Linked DNA regions of Schizosaccharomyces pombe. Each later gene encodes a partner of the first gene's protein in a complex. Each region holds a gene or a part of one and is shown in the gene's direction. Other genes may lie near its edges.

Region 1 (4,604 bases):
TTGTTATATATCTTTTGAGCGCACATCAAATAAATTAAACGGATTGGTAATTACAAAACAGACATGCTGAGTTTGTGTAAAAATCATCGCTAATTCTAGGTGGTATATTTAATCTATCCTATAGAAGAAATTACCTTTACTCGTTAGTAATGTCTCGTACCATTGACACAGTCTAATACATTAGCAATTAAAAAAGACTGTGGCATGGCCTGTAAAAAATACGCATCTAGCTCTTATTTTGGATAAAAATAAATAAATATGTGACTTACTGAAAAAATTGTACCAGGGTCAGATGAAACGTTGAAAATTATTCGCTTATAGCCCTGATCACTAATGGCATGTAATCCAAAACTAGTGGATAGTGAAACAATCTTCTATTTTAACTATAACCAGATAATATTAAATTTAAAAAAAGTATCCGTAATCCATAAATCACTTGTTACTGTTGTGTAGAGCCTGAAATTGCAACAAGACCGGGCTTGGCAGCATGTATGCATACTTGGGTTATTCCGTCTAAGTTTCAGCAGTTCTTCCTTAATATAGTAGTAATCTTTTTGTCTCAAATCCCATATTTCTTCTAGCTCAGCCCCAATGGTAGGTATTCTTCAAAAACATTTGTATGCAGCTAGTTATTCCCTATTTCGCTTGTAAGCATATGAAACAATCCCAGTAGCCTCGGCTAAAAATAACCTTAAACTTTTTTTTATTGCCAAAGCAGCTTTTTGAACGATGAAAGAAATGAAGCTTCGAAAAAAATGCAGTGCACTTACAATTTTAGTTAACTAAAACTAAAAATAAATGGTAGATGTTTCCAATCCATGAACGGTGTTATGAACCTGTATCAATTCCTAATTAATCGTTAGCGTATGGTTTCATAAACGATTAATCACGAATGTTTAGATCAAATTTGAGTAAGCTTTTGAACAATTAGGCTGCAATCTAAACGGTTACATAAAAAATTTGAGGGTCTCTTGAATTACTGAGACAAAAAAAAAAATCGGGCTGTTGTGGGAATCGAACCCACGACCACCATCACCCTAAGATGGTATCATACCACTAGACCAAACGGCCACAATTGTCATTTATAAACGTTTAACATATTTACAGTTCTTTCACATAAAAGTTGTGATCATTCGAATATTAAAGTTATTTTTCTTCTTCTCAAGTCAATGAATCTTCTTATAAAAGACGAAGTAAATTTGATTGAAAATGAGTCATACAGCTTACTTTTAAATTGAATCATGGTCATATTGGGAATAAAGGCTTTTATAATCCACCGTTTAAACCCGTTGAACGCTTTAAGATTACTTTCACAATTTTTTTTGGGAAACTTGTTAACAAATTCATTGTAATACTAGTTAAGTTTCAACGAAGTTTTAGATTTCTGTTAATTCAACTTCAAAAATTTATATAGTGGTATAATGGTATATATCGCAACAAGGAATGCAGAACTTTCATACCGATATTTTACTTGCGCCAGTAGGGCTGCTTACCTCTCTCTGAGCGGTCTGAGTGGAACGCCTTTACCAATATTGAAGTTGAAATATTTCAAACATTCAAAAACGTAGCATCTACACTATTTGATTTTCATATTTTGTTAATACTTAATGAATTAATTATACAGTTTGGTCGTCTTTGCCAATTTCTTAGGATTACAAAATTTAAACCCGCATACTTGATTTCCATTGCAGTTTTTTATACCCATTCCCTAACTATTACCTCAATTTAACAAATGAGTTTTCAACAGCGCTTCGCCAGAGCGTTGGACGTGGGCTACAAGAATTTTTTGTCAAAAGATGCGGTCAGGAATATCTTTGCTTATGACAACCACTTACGAGGCCTAGTACAAAAAGAATGTAAAATTCATCAAACTCCGTATCGTGTGCCTTCAGATTTAATGGTTCAAAGCGCTAGTGACCCAGCCCGCGCTAATTTATTCAATTACTCTAGCCAATTGGTAAATCATGATTTTTTCTTTTCCGGCCTTATTTCTCCAGAACGGCCCTCTGCAGATGCAGATTTAGGAGCTATCAACCTAAAGCCTGGAATTGATGCATCCTTCGGTTCATTTGGTGAGTTGAAGTCTCAAATGGTTGACGTTGGCAATTCAGTTTTTGGTGATGGTTGGCTGTGGTTGGTATATAGTCCAGAAAAATCTTTATTTTCCTTATTATGCACGTACAATGCGTCAAATGCCTTTCTTTGGGGAACAGGATTTCCTAAGTTTCGTACCAATGCAATTGTACCGCTTTTATGCGTTAACCTTTGGCAATATGCGTATCTTGACGACTATGGTTTAAATGGTAAAAAAATGTACATTACAAAATGGTGGGATATGATCAATTGGACGGTCGTCAACAATAGATTCCAAGCTACGCGCATTGAATCCCTTTAGCTAACCCGACTGAATCCTGCACAATTTTCAATCTTTTTCTACTTCTCTCCCCTCCTCTCCCGGCTACGTTTTGTATGCAAGTGATCATGGTGGCTTACTATGGGTTCACTTTATCTGATTGAAAAAACCCATACTATTAACAAATCTTATAAATAAATAAAGTTTTGTAATTACTGTTGGCAAAGAATGAGAATTAGAATGCTAAATGTAATGTTTCCCTCTATATATTATTTAACATTCCAACAATATCTACGGAAAAGTTAATTTAGTTGAACCATCCATTAAATGTATAAACTAGGACACATAGCAATTATCTGATACTTTAGAGGTTTCGGAAGGTCAAACATAGACATTAAACAGTAAATTAAATTTGCGAGCATGTTTTCCACTTAAATTTTAATAATACGACTCCCATACCATATGTTCCATTAATAAGCATTTCGATTATTAGGACCCAATAATGATATTTGCGCAAGAGGGGAATCCTTTTTTCAAGATTAATAAGGAAAGGTTGAATTAAAAGCTGAAAAAAGAAAGCAGGTGAACAGCGTCCAGAAATTGACCAATAGGCAAAGTCATGGAATAATGCTGAAAGGAAAAAACATGAACAACTTGCCAGAAACTTACTTCCAGTGAGGGCAATAGTTGGATCCCAAGCAATCACTCTGAAATAGGGCTTGGTACAAACATGCCAATCTCTGGACCAAAAATCATTAACCGAGGTGGTTTTAGATACATTTCCCATCATTAATGGATACTCTGCAATATCCCAAATTCCCAGAGGAACAAAAATAATGGCGAATAAATAGTACAAGGCATTAATAAACAAATATGAAAAGAATCCAGAGGTTACGCAAAATGCGACTTGAATATACCATGGGTTGGCTGATATAGGAAGCAACATCCAATTGGATAAACGAGTTTTAAAACAATTGACAAAACAAAATGCACCCACATAGACAGCAGTACGTATCCCCAAAGATTTGTAAGTCAGCACTTTTCTACAGTAAGGGGGAACCACGTCGTCAGTCCAACCATACTTGCGCAAAGAAAGTGCATAATCAACAAAGTTCCACCTAGCGTTACGAATGAATGGTCGACGACGCTTAACAGCGCTGATTTGTACAGGATCGTTGCGAGAAGGTACCATATCTCGCCAACTCAAAAAGCAAGTTCGAAGCGACATCATAATGAGAAAGCCATATGCCAAACCAAATGTAGAGACATCCTTATAACCAACATGGTGATAGACAGCACACATGCGATACGCCAGTATAACCGTGATGGAACATAACAAAGTGCAGGCGATTTTCCACCGGCGAAAAAAACAAAAGGTTTCGACAAGGTATGTAGCTAAAGGGAATAGATTGAACAGAAGGATGTTATAAATACCTGTGACTGGAAGTTTGGAAGAAGGATCGAAAGAAAATGGATACATGAAAGTAATTGAATTTTAGATCGTGTTCGTAGATGATCAAACGCCGAAAACTTTATAGTGGAGGAATAGGAAAGGAAGAAAAGCAAAAAAGTAAGAAAGAAAATTCGCAGTTAAAACAAAAGTGAAGAAAAAGAACAGATAGGGTAAGACAATACAAGCAACACTAGACGAGACAAGACAAGACAAGGCGAAACAATAAGAAAAGGCAAACCACACTCTATATAACTATGAGACTTTATTTACAATCAATCAGTCAACCGACAAAAATATGAAAAAAAGACAATAATGATAAAAGAAAATGACAAAATGCTTATTGAAAGAAACAAAGAACAACGATGATGATGATGATGATGATGAAGGCAAAGAAAAAAAAGTGTTATAATATAGTTGTTAACAAAAATAAATCAGACACTGTGGAATTACAAATAAATCAGTAATACTTGCTAATTGCATGAAAAGGAAAATAGCATCCCGTAATCTTCAATTGCCCTTCAATCAATCCACGATTTTTTAAATCTGGAAATTTTCGCACAACAGATTTCAGGTACAAGGTAGTCAACCCAACAAGAAAAAATCGTCTCTTAAGATCGATTTCTGCCTGAAAATACCGGTTTTCTCGACACCTGGATCTGTAAACAAAACCCCCAAGTTAGGGTCGCCAGAAAAAAATGGGGTGGTTAGGAATATTACAAACCACCAACGCAAACGACAAATAGAGAGCAAGAGCCCAACAAATTTTGACCACCGAGGATTTAATATGAAAATCGGTAA
Region 2 (4,438 bases), on another chromosome or scaffold:
TAGTATATGTTCAATGTTGCAATATTATAGTTTATGTTTAGACAATGTCAAGCATAAATAAGCTTAATAATGATAACCAACTTACTGAAGGTGTATATATGTGTCAGTTTTCAAACCAAAACCTTTTTATTTATAACCGTAACCCTAAGTTTTTATGAATAGTATAGTATACGATATACTATATATGTACATAAGAAAATGATGAAAACTCAAATTTCTTCTTTGGAAATGCTCTGTAAAATGGCGCTAGCCATCGCAAGATTAGACTTGAACAGAGCTTTTTTAGAATTATCCACTAAAGGATTTTTCCGAACATAAGTTTTTAAGAACCAATCCACTTTCGATGAAAGGTTTTTCTCTGCTTTGCAGTTTTCAAATATTTTTACGAGTTGTAAATCGTCTTTAACTCCCAAAATTATATCGGTAAAAAAGACCAGTAAAAACGTTTGCATTTGGGCATTAATGGCCATAAAATCCACATGCTAAAATTGAGTTAGTAATTACAATCAAATTTTTAGAATATACGTACTTTGAGGATAGTTAAGGGCTGTGCAGCTTCAATGACTAAAGACGCATAAAGCTTCGCCAAGTTAACTATGCGTCTCATGGATATTTCTCTTTCTTCACTATCATCATCTGGTTGTAGTTCATTAAAGAAATCCCAAAGAGAGAATTGAAATGACTTTTTCAAATTGTGCTGCAATGTACAACATTTTAACGCTACCAAACCATAAAACGGGTTATACAATTTCTCATTACCAACGCAATGCAAAATTACATAAGCTATTTCAGGTAATTGATTCCTTTTGAGATGCAACTTCAGCACTCTTTCCCATGCATCAATGTAGTCCTAAGTTTGTTAGTTTAAAGTTAATGAAATTTAGAACGAATACCTCTGAACCAACAAGGGCAACGAATATCGAAGTTCGAAGAGTTGAATTCAATCTTAACTTCTTAGCAGCTTGTAAAATTTTTGAATGGGCCGTCAGTTCTTCTGATTTTTTCTTATCCTGTAATGCTTCAGTAGATAATGTGTTGTCACCAGATGGAACATTATTCCAAGAAGCTCCAACAAGCCACCATCGACCTTTCGTCTCAATCTGCTCAATATCTTCTAAAGTAACTCGTAAAGGCTCTCTAGCATTTAATGAGCGGTTGCCTAACGAACCCAAAAATTTCTTTAGCTGATTTACAGCTTCAAATTTAGATTGGGCGCTAGCATTGGCAACTTTTGTTTTTTTGTTTTCTTTAAGATTAGTGATCGATTCTACCATAAACTTTGTACGGACAGATATGGTTGATGGATCAGCTGAAGCTAATAACAAATTCATTTCCGTAACAATATCTTGGAGAGACGTCGGGTCATCTGATCGCAACTGCCCTCCACAATTGAGGACAATTTTGAGCAGCATTTCAACGTTCAATTCGGTTAAAGAGCGTAAAAAAAGGCGAATCAAATCATAAACAAGAACACATGAAACAAGTTGAAAATTATACAACTCAACAAAAAATACAATCAAGTTAGAAGTCTCCTTATGGGAAGAAAGAGGTTCTTTCTCTTTTGATTTATAAAGCTGCAAAAAACGTTCCACTAGGGTTTGCAATAGATGAGCACCAAAGTCATTGCCTACAATGCGGTAAAGAGCAGTGGCTAACGCAGCATATACTATGGCCAATTGATCTAGCATAGATTCTCTTCCCATTACGGTTTGTAGTAGCAAATTGGTGATGGTAGACGTGACTGAGTGTCTTGAATTTTCCATGTAAAGGACTTCAATCTCCTTAATAATTGAAGAAATATTTGCGATAGACAATTTGTTTAGCGATCCTTGTAATTTCCGACGAAGTCGCAGAGCATCTTCTGACTCCTTATCTCCCCCTAATTTTTTCCGTAAAGATGGAGGGACATACTTTGAGCCGACGTTCGCATTAGGTAAGGATGGGACTGCAGGCTTCAAAGGATCCATCCGAATCGGCTTAGTTTCAGGTTGATGGAATTCATCAGAATTAGACTCAAACCCATGAAACTCTTCCTCCTCCTCACCCGAATTTCCTTCCCTTTCACTTTCCAACTCATCAACGCTACCATGGTCACCTGTATCGTCTGAAACTTCAGAGTCTTCTGAATGACCATATGAAGGATCTTCAGTGCCCGGAACGCCTATGTCATCAATTTCTTGATCTAGGTCTTCTAAAAGCCATCCAAATTCCTTGTCAATTTTTGAGTGAGCAGATTTATCTTTGCTTTTGATGCCAAGCATCTTTTCTAAATGAGCGATTTCACGATCATCCTCTTCCAAAGCAATCTTATGCTGAAAAGCAATGGGATCGAGTAATTTACTCTCCTTTGCCTGTTTATTCTGTGAAGATTTTTTTTTTGTAGATGACTTTCTGTGAGCATCTAAGTAATCATCATTAAGTTCAGAAGACTTACTATCACCTTCTTCTGTAATCTTCCGGTTTTCATAACCATTTTTTCCTCGAGAGATCCTAGCAAATTTTCTTTTTTCACGATGAGGTAGATTATGATTTCGCTTTCCCCGCCTAGCACTCGAATCTATCAATTTGGTTAAATATACTGACCAAATCTATAAAAAAAAGCTTACCAGATTCTCCTATCTCTTCTAAAATACTTTTGGGCAGTTTTAAGCTTCTGCTTTTTTTAATTGGCCTCATACTATCGAATGTTTAAATATTAAACAAACGATAATTAATACTAAAGCTCAAGAACTACCAAATTTTTCAATTAAACGATACCAAAAACTGGTATAATTGCTTTACAAAGAGAAGAATTGGGCCTCAGTCTCGAGTTGGCGTATCGTTTCAAATGAATTTCACAACACTGCTAATGGAACTGTATACAATATCGCAATTTGTTAATGCTATTTAAAGTTGTCACTCTGCTGCTGTATTTTACATTAACGCTCTATGTAGTATCACACTAATAAAGCATATCGAAGTGGAAATGTTGCAATCGTGCAGCGATTTCAAAGTCTTAAAGTACTACTACACCAAACGGGCTTTCATTTTGCTCGAGTCATTCGTGTCTGTATTATGCTTTCACGGAAATTATCACCGGAGCAACTTGTAGCTCGTCGTTTAAAAATACGTGACTGGAATCACAAAATAGGTGCAGTTGTAGCTCCCCATTATTCACCGACATTATCCATTCGAAATCCGGCACCTCCTAGTCAACTTAGTCTTCCTTTATTGTTGTCTTCTGGTGCTCATTTAGGACACTCTACATCCATATGGAATCCTTACACGCAGCCCTTTATATATGGTAAAAGAGAAGGTATTCACATAATATCATTGGATCAAACCATGGTTTACCTACGAAGAGCTATATCCGTCGTTAGATCAATAGCTAAAGAAAATGGAATTATATTGTTCATTGGCACCAGAAACGGCCAGAAAGATTCTGTCGTTGCTGCTGCCAAACGTGCTAGAGGTTATCACATATTTGATCGTTGGCTACCAGGACTTCTCACCAATGCCAGAGAAGTACAAGGAAAGCTTGGCGGTTCAATTTTATGTAAAGATAATAGAGGGAAATTGATTCAAACTGATAAAAAACCAAGTTATGTCTTTCCTGATTTGATGGTTATACTAAACCCATTAGAAAACAAAAGTGCTTGTCTAGAGGCACAGAAAACTCATGTTCCAACAATTGGAATCATTGATACTGATGCGGATCCAAGGATGGTTACCTATCCTATTCCAGCAAATGATGATTCTTTACGGTGTACAGATTTAATAGCTGGTTTACTGAGTAGGGTAGCTGAGCAAGAGTACCAAAAAGCTAACCAAGCCTTCGAAAAAGATAAATTTACACTTCCTTTATGATTCCCCTCTCATTGTTTTGAAAATGCCTGTATTCTTTGATTTTTCTAAACATGATTAAAGATAAGGTCTGATTAATTTTCACTAGTATTCAATAAAATTAATGATTCGTAAACGAAAGGTTAAAAAGAAAGAATAAATTATTATGGATAACGTATATATCACATTTCAATGATTTGATGCCAAAATTTTTGTTAAAGACAGACATATTTTGCTGTGCGAAAGGAAATCATCGGTATGCTTTCACATTTTCTATAAACTCTTTTTTCAATTGTTGAATAGTCATCTTTCTAGTATCCCTTGAATTATGATTGTGTCTACTAGATACACTGAGAATTTCTTTGTCAACTTCGTCTTCTCCAATGACAATTTCATAATTATAATTTAAAAGTCTTGATTCACGTAGCCGTTTGCCAATAGATTGTGCTTCAGCGTTTATGTCCACATAATAGGTATTTTTATTGAGTGGGAGAAATTCAGATTCATTGACTTCCTGATTAGACAATTCCTTTTGTACTTGCTTAGCATAAGTTAGAATTCGATCTGTTTGATTGACTGGTAAAATGACAGCATGTCTAGGACTTAGCCAAAATGG
Region 3 (4,423 bases), on another chromosome or scaffold:
CACATCTCTCCATTTGCATCGGGCTCCTTCTCTCCTTTTGCAACTTCATCGCCTAATTTTTTATCGACTTCCACACCCGCTCCTCCTAATTCAAATAATGCTAATCCTTCTACCCTTTTTTCGTCCATACCATCCTCTCGACACACTACCTCTAATCATTTCCCTTCTAACTCCGCTCAATCCTCTTTGTTTTCTCCTACCGCTCGTCCACTTACTGCACGCAAGCTTGGGTTTGCCTCCAGCCAAACTAAGTCTGCCGTATCTAACAACCATTCACGAAATAGCTCTAAGGATGCATCATTTATGATGAAAAGTTTCATCCCTTCTAATCGCTCACATCCTCAAACCCAACAAAATGAATCTTCCCTCTTTTCTGATAACAGTATGGTTAACTCCTCTTCTAATTCATTCTCCCTTTTCCCCAATGCTACTCTACCTAACCCACCCTCATCTGAGTTGTTAACTACTCCCTTTCAACAAATCAAACCTCCTTCCCAAGTTTTTATGAGTACAGGTCTTTTATCCAAGCAACATCGTCCGCGAAAGAATATTAACTTTACACCTCTCCCTCCTAGTACTCCTTCAAAACCCTCTACCTTTGTTCGTCCACATTCTTCCTCCACAGATTCGCCTCCATCACCCTCGACTCCTTCCAATACACAAACCGACTCTTATTTTATTCAACGGGAAAACACTCCTACAAATCACAATTCCATTCCTACTATTCAGTTGGAGAAAAGTTCCATGGACTTTTTGAGGTTCGATCCTCCTCCTTCTGCTGTAAAAACTTCTCACAACTATGGATTACCATTTCTATCTAATCAGAGGTGTCCCGCTACGCCTACTCGTAACCCATTTGCGTTTGAAAATACTGTTTCCATTCACATGGACGGTCGGCAACCTTCGCCTATCAAATCGAGAAATAATAATCAAATGTCATTTGCCATGGAGGAAGAAGCTGATGTATCTCAACCCTCTTCTTCAAGCTTTACATTATCCTTTCCTTCTGCTCTCACCTCGTCCAAAGTATCATCATCTACTTCACATTTGCTTACACGGTTTAGAAATGTTACTTTACTAGGAAGTGGAGAGTTTAGTGAGGTTTTTCAAGTTGAAGACCCTGTGGAAAAAACTTTAAAGTATGCAGTGAAAAAGCTCAAGGTAAAGTTTAGTGGACCAAAAGAACGTAATCGACTACTTCAGGAAGTCTCTATTCAACGAGCCCTTAAAGGCCATGATCACATTGTAGAGCTTATGGACTCATGGGAACATGGGGGGTTTCTTTATATGCAAGTCGAATTGTGTGAAAATGGTAGTTTGGATCGTTTTCTTGAAGAGCAAGGACAACTTTCAAGGCTCGATGAATTTAGGGTATGGAAAATATTAGTAGAAGTAGCTCTTGGGCTACAGTTTATTCATCATAAAAATTATGTTCATTTGGATTTAAAGCCTGCTAATGTTATGATAACATTCGAGGGTACCTTGAAGATTGGTGATTTTGGAATGGCCAGTGTTTGGCCTGTTCCGAGAGGCATGGAAAGAGAAGGTGATTGTGAATACATTGCGCCTGAGGTTCTTGCTAACCATTTGTATGATAAACCTGCTGATATTTTCAGTTTGGGTATCACAGTCTTCGAAGCTGCTGCTAACATTGTTCTTCCTGATAACGGTCAGTCTTGGCAGAAATTACGTTCCGGTGACTTATCAGATGCTCCTCGACTTTCTTCAACAGACAACGGTTCATCTCTTACTTCTTCTTCTCGTGAAACACCGGCTAATAGTATAATAGGCCAAGGGGGACTTGATCGCGTTGTAGAGTGGATGCTATCTCCAGAGCCTAGGAACCGACCTACCATAGATCAAATTTTGGCAACTGATGAGGTTTGCTGGGTTGAAATGCGTAGAAAAGCCGGAGCCATAATTTATGAAGGTATTCATGGATCTTCTTCTAACCCCCAGGGTGATCAAATGATGGAAGATTGGCAGGTGAATGTTTAAACCTTTTAGAGACTCTTGTTCTCAATGTTTATTACTGCGAAATTGCGAAATAAGGGAATGGCTTCCAAAATCTGTTTAGCTTCATAAAAGCAAACACTTTAATTATTTTTAAACGAAAAGTTTAGTGATTGGTGCTTATAATTAATTTTGGTTCATTAAATGCTTTTTTTTTATTTAAGGATACGTGTCCGTTTTAACCGAACCCTTAAATTTTAAAAAATTTTAAAAAATTATTAGATGATAGTTTTTCTATTTAATTTTTTGCCTTTTCACCGGATTATCTATTTGGTTTTCTTCAGTCAAATATCCGGTTAATTATATCTGAGGCAATATGATGATGGCTATGGAAACATGCCATTCAGTTCTTGATATGGGGAACTAGAATGTTTCCTTAATTTAAAGCCTTGACGCCGCACATACTGTACGTGCTTTGTCTACTGAAAAAATGTTAGTGAACGATTGTTTTTTATATCGCAAATCCTTTCTCTAACATGTAGACTCGGCTTCAGAGGAGTTATTATTCCTATTTTTCATCTATTTTATTGTCTAATTTCTTATGTCACTCGTTTGTTATCGACTTGATATGTTGCATTTACTCATCTTTGCTAGCATAAAGTTCGAATCCCGACTGTTTATCCACTTTTTTTTGACTTCTGTTTTCATAATAATTTAGATCGATCGATGACACTGCCTATTATTCTTGTACATAGTTTACGATCTTGCTGAATGGCAAATAATTGGTTATGTTTATGGAAAATGCCACGATTTACTAACGAAGTTTAATAACCCGTTAGATTTTTTATTATTATCATATCATATAATAATTAGTAATAATGTTAACGTTATGCTTAGTTCCACTTCTGTAATTTTTAATTTCCCTTTTTTTTTATGCTTGTGAAAGCTGTGTATATGCTCAAGTTTGTGATGCCTTCAAATTAGTATAGGATTTTAATGACCCGTTTAACACTTCATATCTAAATAAACATTTATTTTGAAACAGAAAAGTTAGAAAATTCAGGTATCATCACGTTTTCATTTATCAGACACAAGCATAAGCTATAAACTATTTAACGAGTGTCTCATTATTTCACTAAACACCTTCAAACATTGAAATATTACTTTGACAACAGCACGGGAGAAAAATGCTTGGGAGACGAATATTTTCTCCAGCTCCAAACAGAGGATTTATTTTATGCAATCTCATACAATCTAATAACTCTACGCGAAGAGGGTTTTCGGACAATCGAAAATTTAATGAGAGAAATTCTGAAGCATCTTCAAATGTAGGATTTCAGAGAAGAGTTCGCTCAAATATTCCATCATATTTATCAGCCTCCGTAGAAGAAGGTGATATTTACTCTCCCAATGATTTACTGTTTGAAACGGTAAAGGCGAAAAATCAAGCCAAATTCTATGAACCAGTAAGAGAAGATTGCTTTAAGACGGTGAACGAAAACCCTATGAATTATTGGAAAAACCCCGTAATATTGTCAAGATTCGTTACTGAACTTGGTCGTATTAAACCCAGAGGTGATACTGGCCTAACAGCAAAAAATCAACGACTTCTTTCTAGGGCTATCCGAAGGGCTCGAGCTGCTGGTATAATGCCGACGAAATACAAATCAGTTTATTCGGAAAATTAAATTGTACTGAATATTAACAAGGACGTTCTATATCTCATTTCATCACATTGGTAGATATACTTACCCACTGTCCCTTACTTTTTTTTTCTTAAGGAACGATAAACGATCTACTTTACTTTTTAAATGATTAGCTCACGTTAATTAATATTTCAGGTGTACTTTGGTTTTGAATAGTCTTTTTTGGATTAAAATATACATGACACAAAATCATAAACCGCTGCTAATATTAGTGGCTAACATTTTTTAATGGCTTTAAAAATATAATATCTTTGTTATCTTTAATTTTTAATTTAGCTTGATTGAACTTTTTTGTAGGAGGAGCGTTAGTCGATACAATGTATTAAAAAAATTATCTAGTAGTAGTTATTTTACTTATCTAAAGAGGACAGAGAGGGAAGAACAAATAATTATATGCAAAAGAAGAAAAAATCCATCTAGAAAAGAATTGGGTTTTATAGAACGATATTAAAACGATGAGTGCATCATGGAGCTAGTTCAAAATATATGCAATAGGGCTTTTCATGAAGGTATATGAGATAAAAGAACAGAAGTTAAATCAGCTTGTGGTATGTAATTCTCCGACTTTAACGAAATTAGAGATCCTGAGAACTTAGAAGAATGACCTAAAGCTGTAAATAGCTGAGCACTCTTATAGGGATCTGAACTCTTTTTATGAACCCTTTGAATGGCCCACTCGATTGAATATAAAGCTTCGTGAATGGCTTGCAAAGGTGGTATATTACAAGCCAGATTCGATGCAATGGCAGCTGTAAGAGAGCAAC

Evidence for each region. The genes of interacting proteins can lie anywhere in the genome.
Region 2: SPOM_SPBC3H7.04 (region 1) and mrp4 share a complex: the UniProt entries of both Schizosaccharomyces pombe proteins name them as parts of the mitochondrial small ribosomal subunit.
Region 3: SPOM_SPBC3H7.04 (region 1) and rsm18 share a complex: the UniProt entries of both Schizosaccharomyces pombe proteins name them as parts of the mitochondrial small ribosomal subunit.

The regions. Positions count from the first base shown.
Region 1 is NC_003423.3:1,873,688-1,878,291, reverse strand, and holds SPOM_SPBC3H7.04 (mitochondrial 37S ribosomal protein mS42), read left to right. Parts: upstream 1-1,510; 5' UTR 1,511-1,732; coding exon 1,733-2,395; 3' UTR 2,396-2,638; downstream 2,639-4,604. Other genes in the region: SPOM_SPBC3H7.05C (uncharacterized protein), read right to left, coding at 2,760-3,833. UniProt on the Schizosaccharomyces pombe protein: Component of the mitochondrial ribosome (mitoribosome), a dedicated translation machinery responsible for the synthesis of mitochondrial genome-encoded proteins, including at least some of the essential transmembrane subunits of the mitochondrial respiratory chain.
Region 2 is NC_003424.3:3,064,826-3,069,263, reverse strand, and holds mrp4 (mitochondrial 37S ribosomal protein uS2m), read left to right. Parts: upstream 1-2,997; 5' UTR 2,998-3,054; coding exon 3,055-3,846; 3' UTR 3,847-3,938; downstream 3,939-4,438. Other genes in the region: sgd1 (ribosome small subunit biogenesis protein), read right to left, coding at 210-482, 530-850, 894-2,557, 2,607-2,676; SPOM_SPAC24C9.09 (threonine--tRNA (Thr) ligase), read right to left, coding at 4,073-4,438. UniProt on the Schizosaccharomyces pombe protein: Component of the mitochondrial ribosome (mitoribosome), a dedicated translation machinery responsible for the synthesis of mitochondrial genome-encoded proteins, including at least some of the essential transmembrane subunits of the mitochondrial respiratory chain.
Region 3 is NC_003421.2:722,870-727,292, forward strand, and holds rsm18 (mitochondrial 37S ribosomal protein bS18m), read left to right. Parts: upstream 1-3,120; 5' UTR 3,121-3,140; coding exon 3,141-3,641; 3' UTR 3,642-3,923; downstream 3,924-4,423. Other genes in the region: protein kinase Wee1, read left to right, coding at 1-1,998; SPOM_SPCC18B5.05C (phosphomethylpyrimidine kinase), read right to left, coding at 4,161-4,423. UniProt on the Schizosaccharomyces pombe protein: Component of the mitochondrial ribosome (mitoribosome), a dedicated translation machinery responsible for the synthesis of mitochondrial genome-encoded proteins, including at least some of the essential transmembrane subunits of the mitochondrial respiratory chain.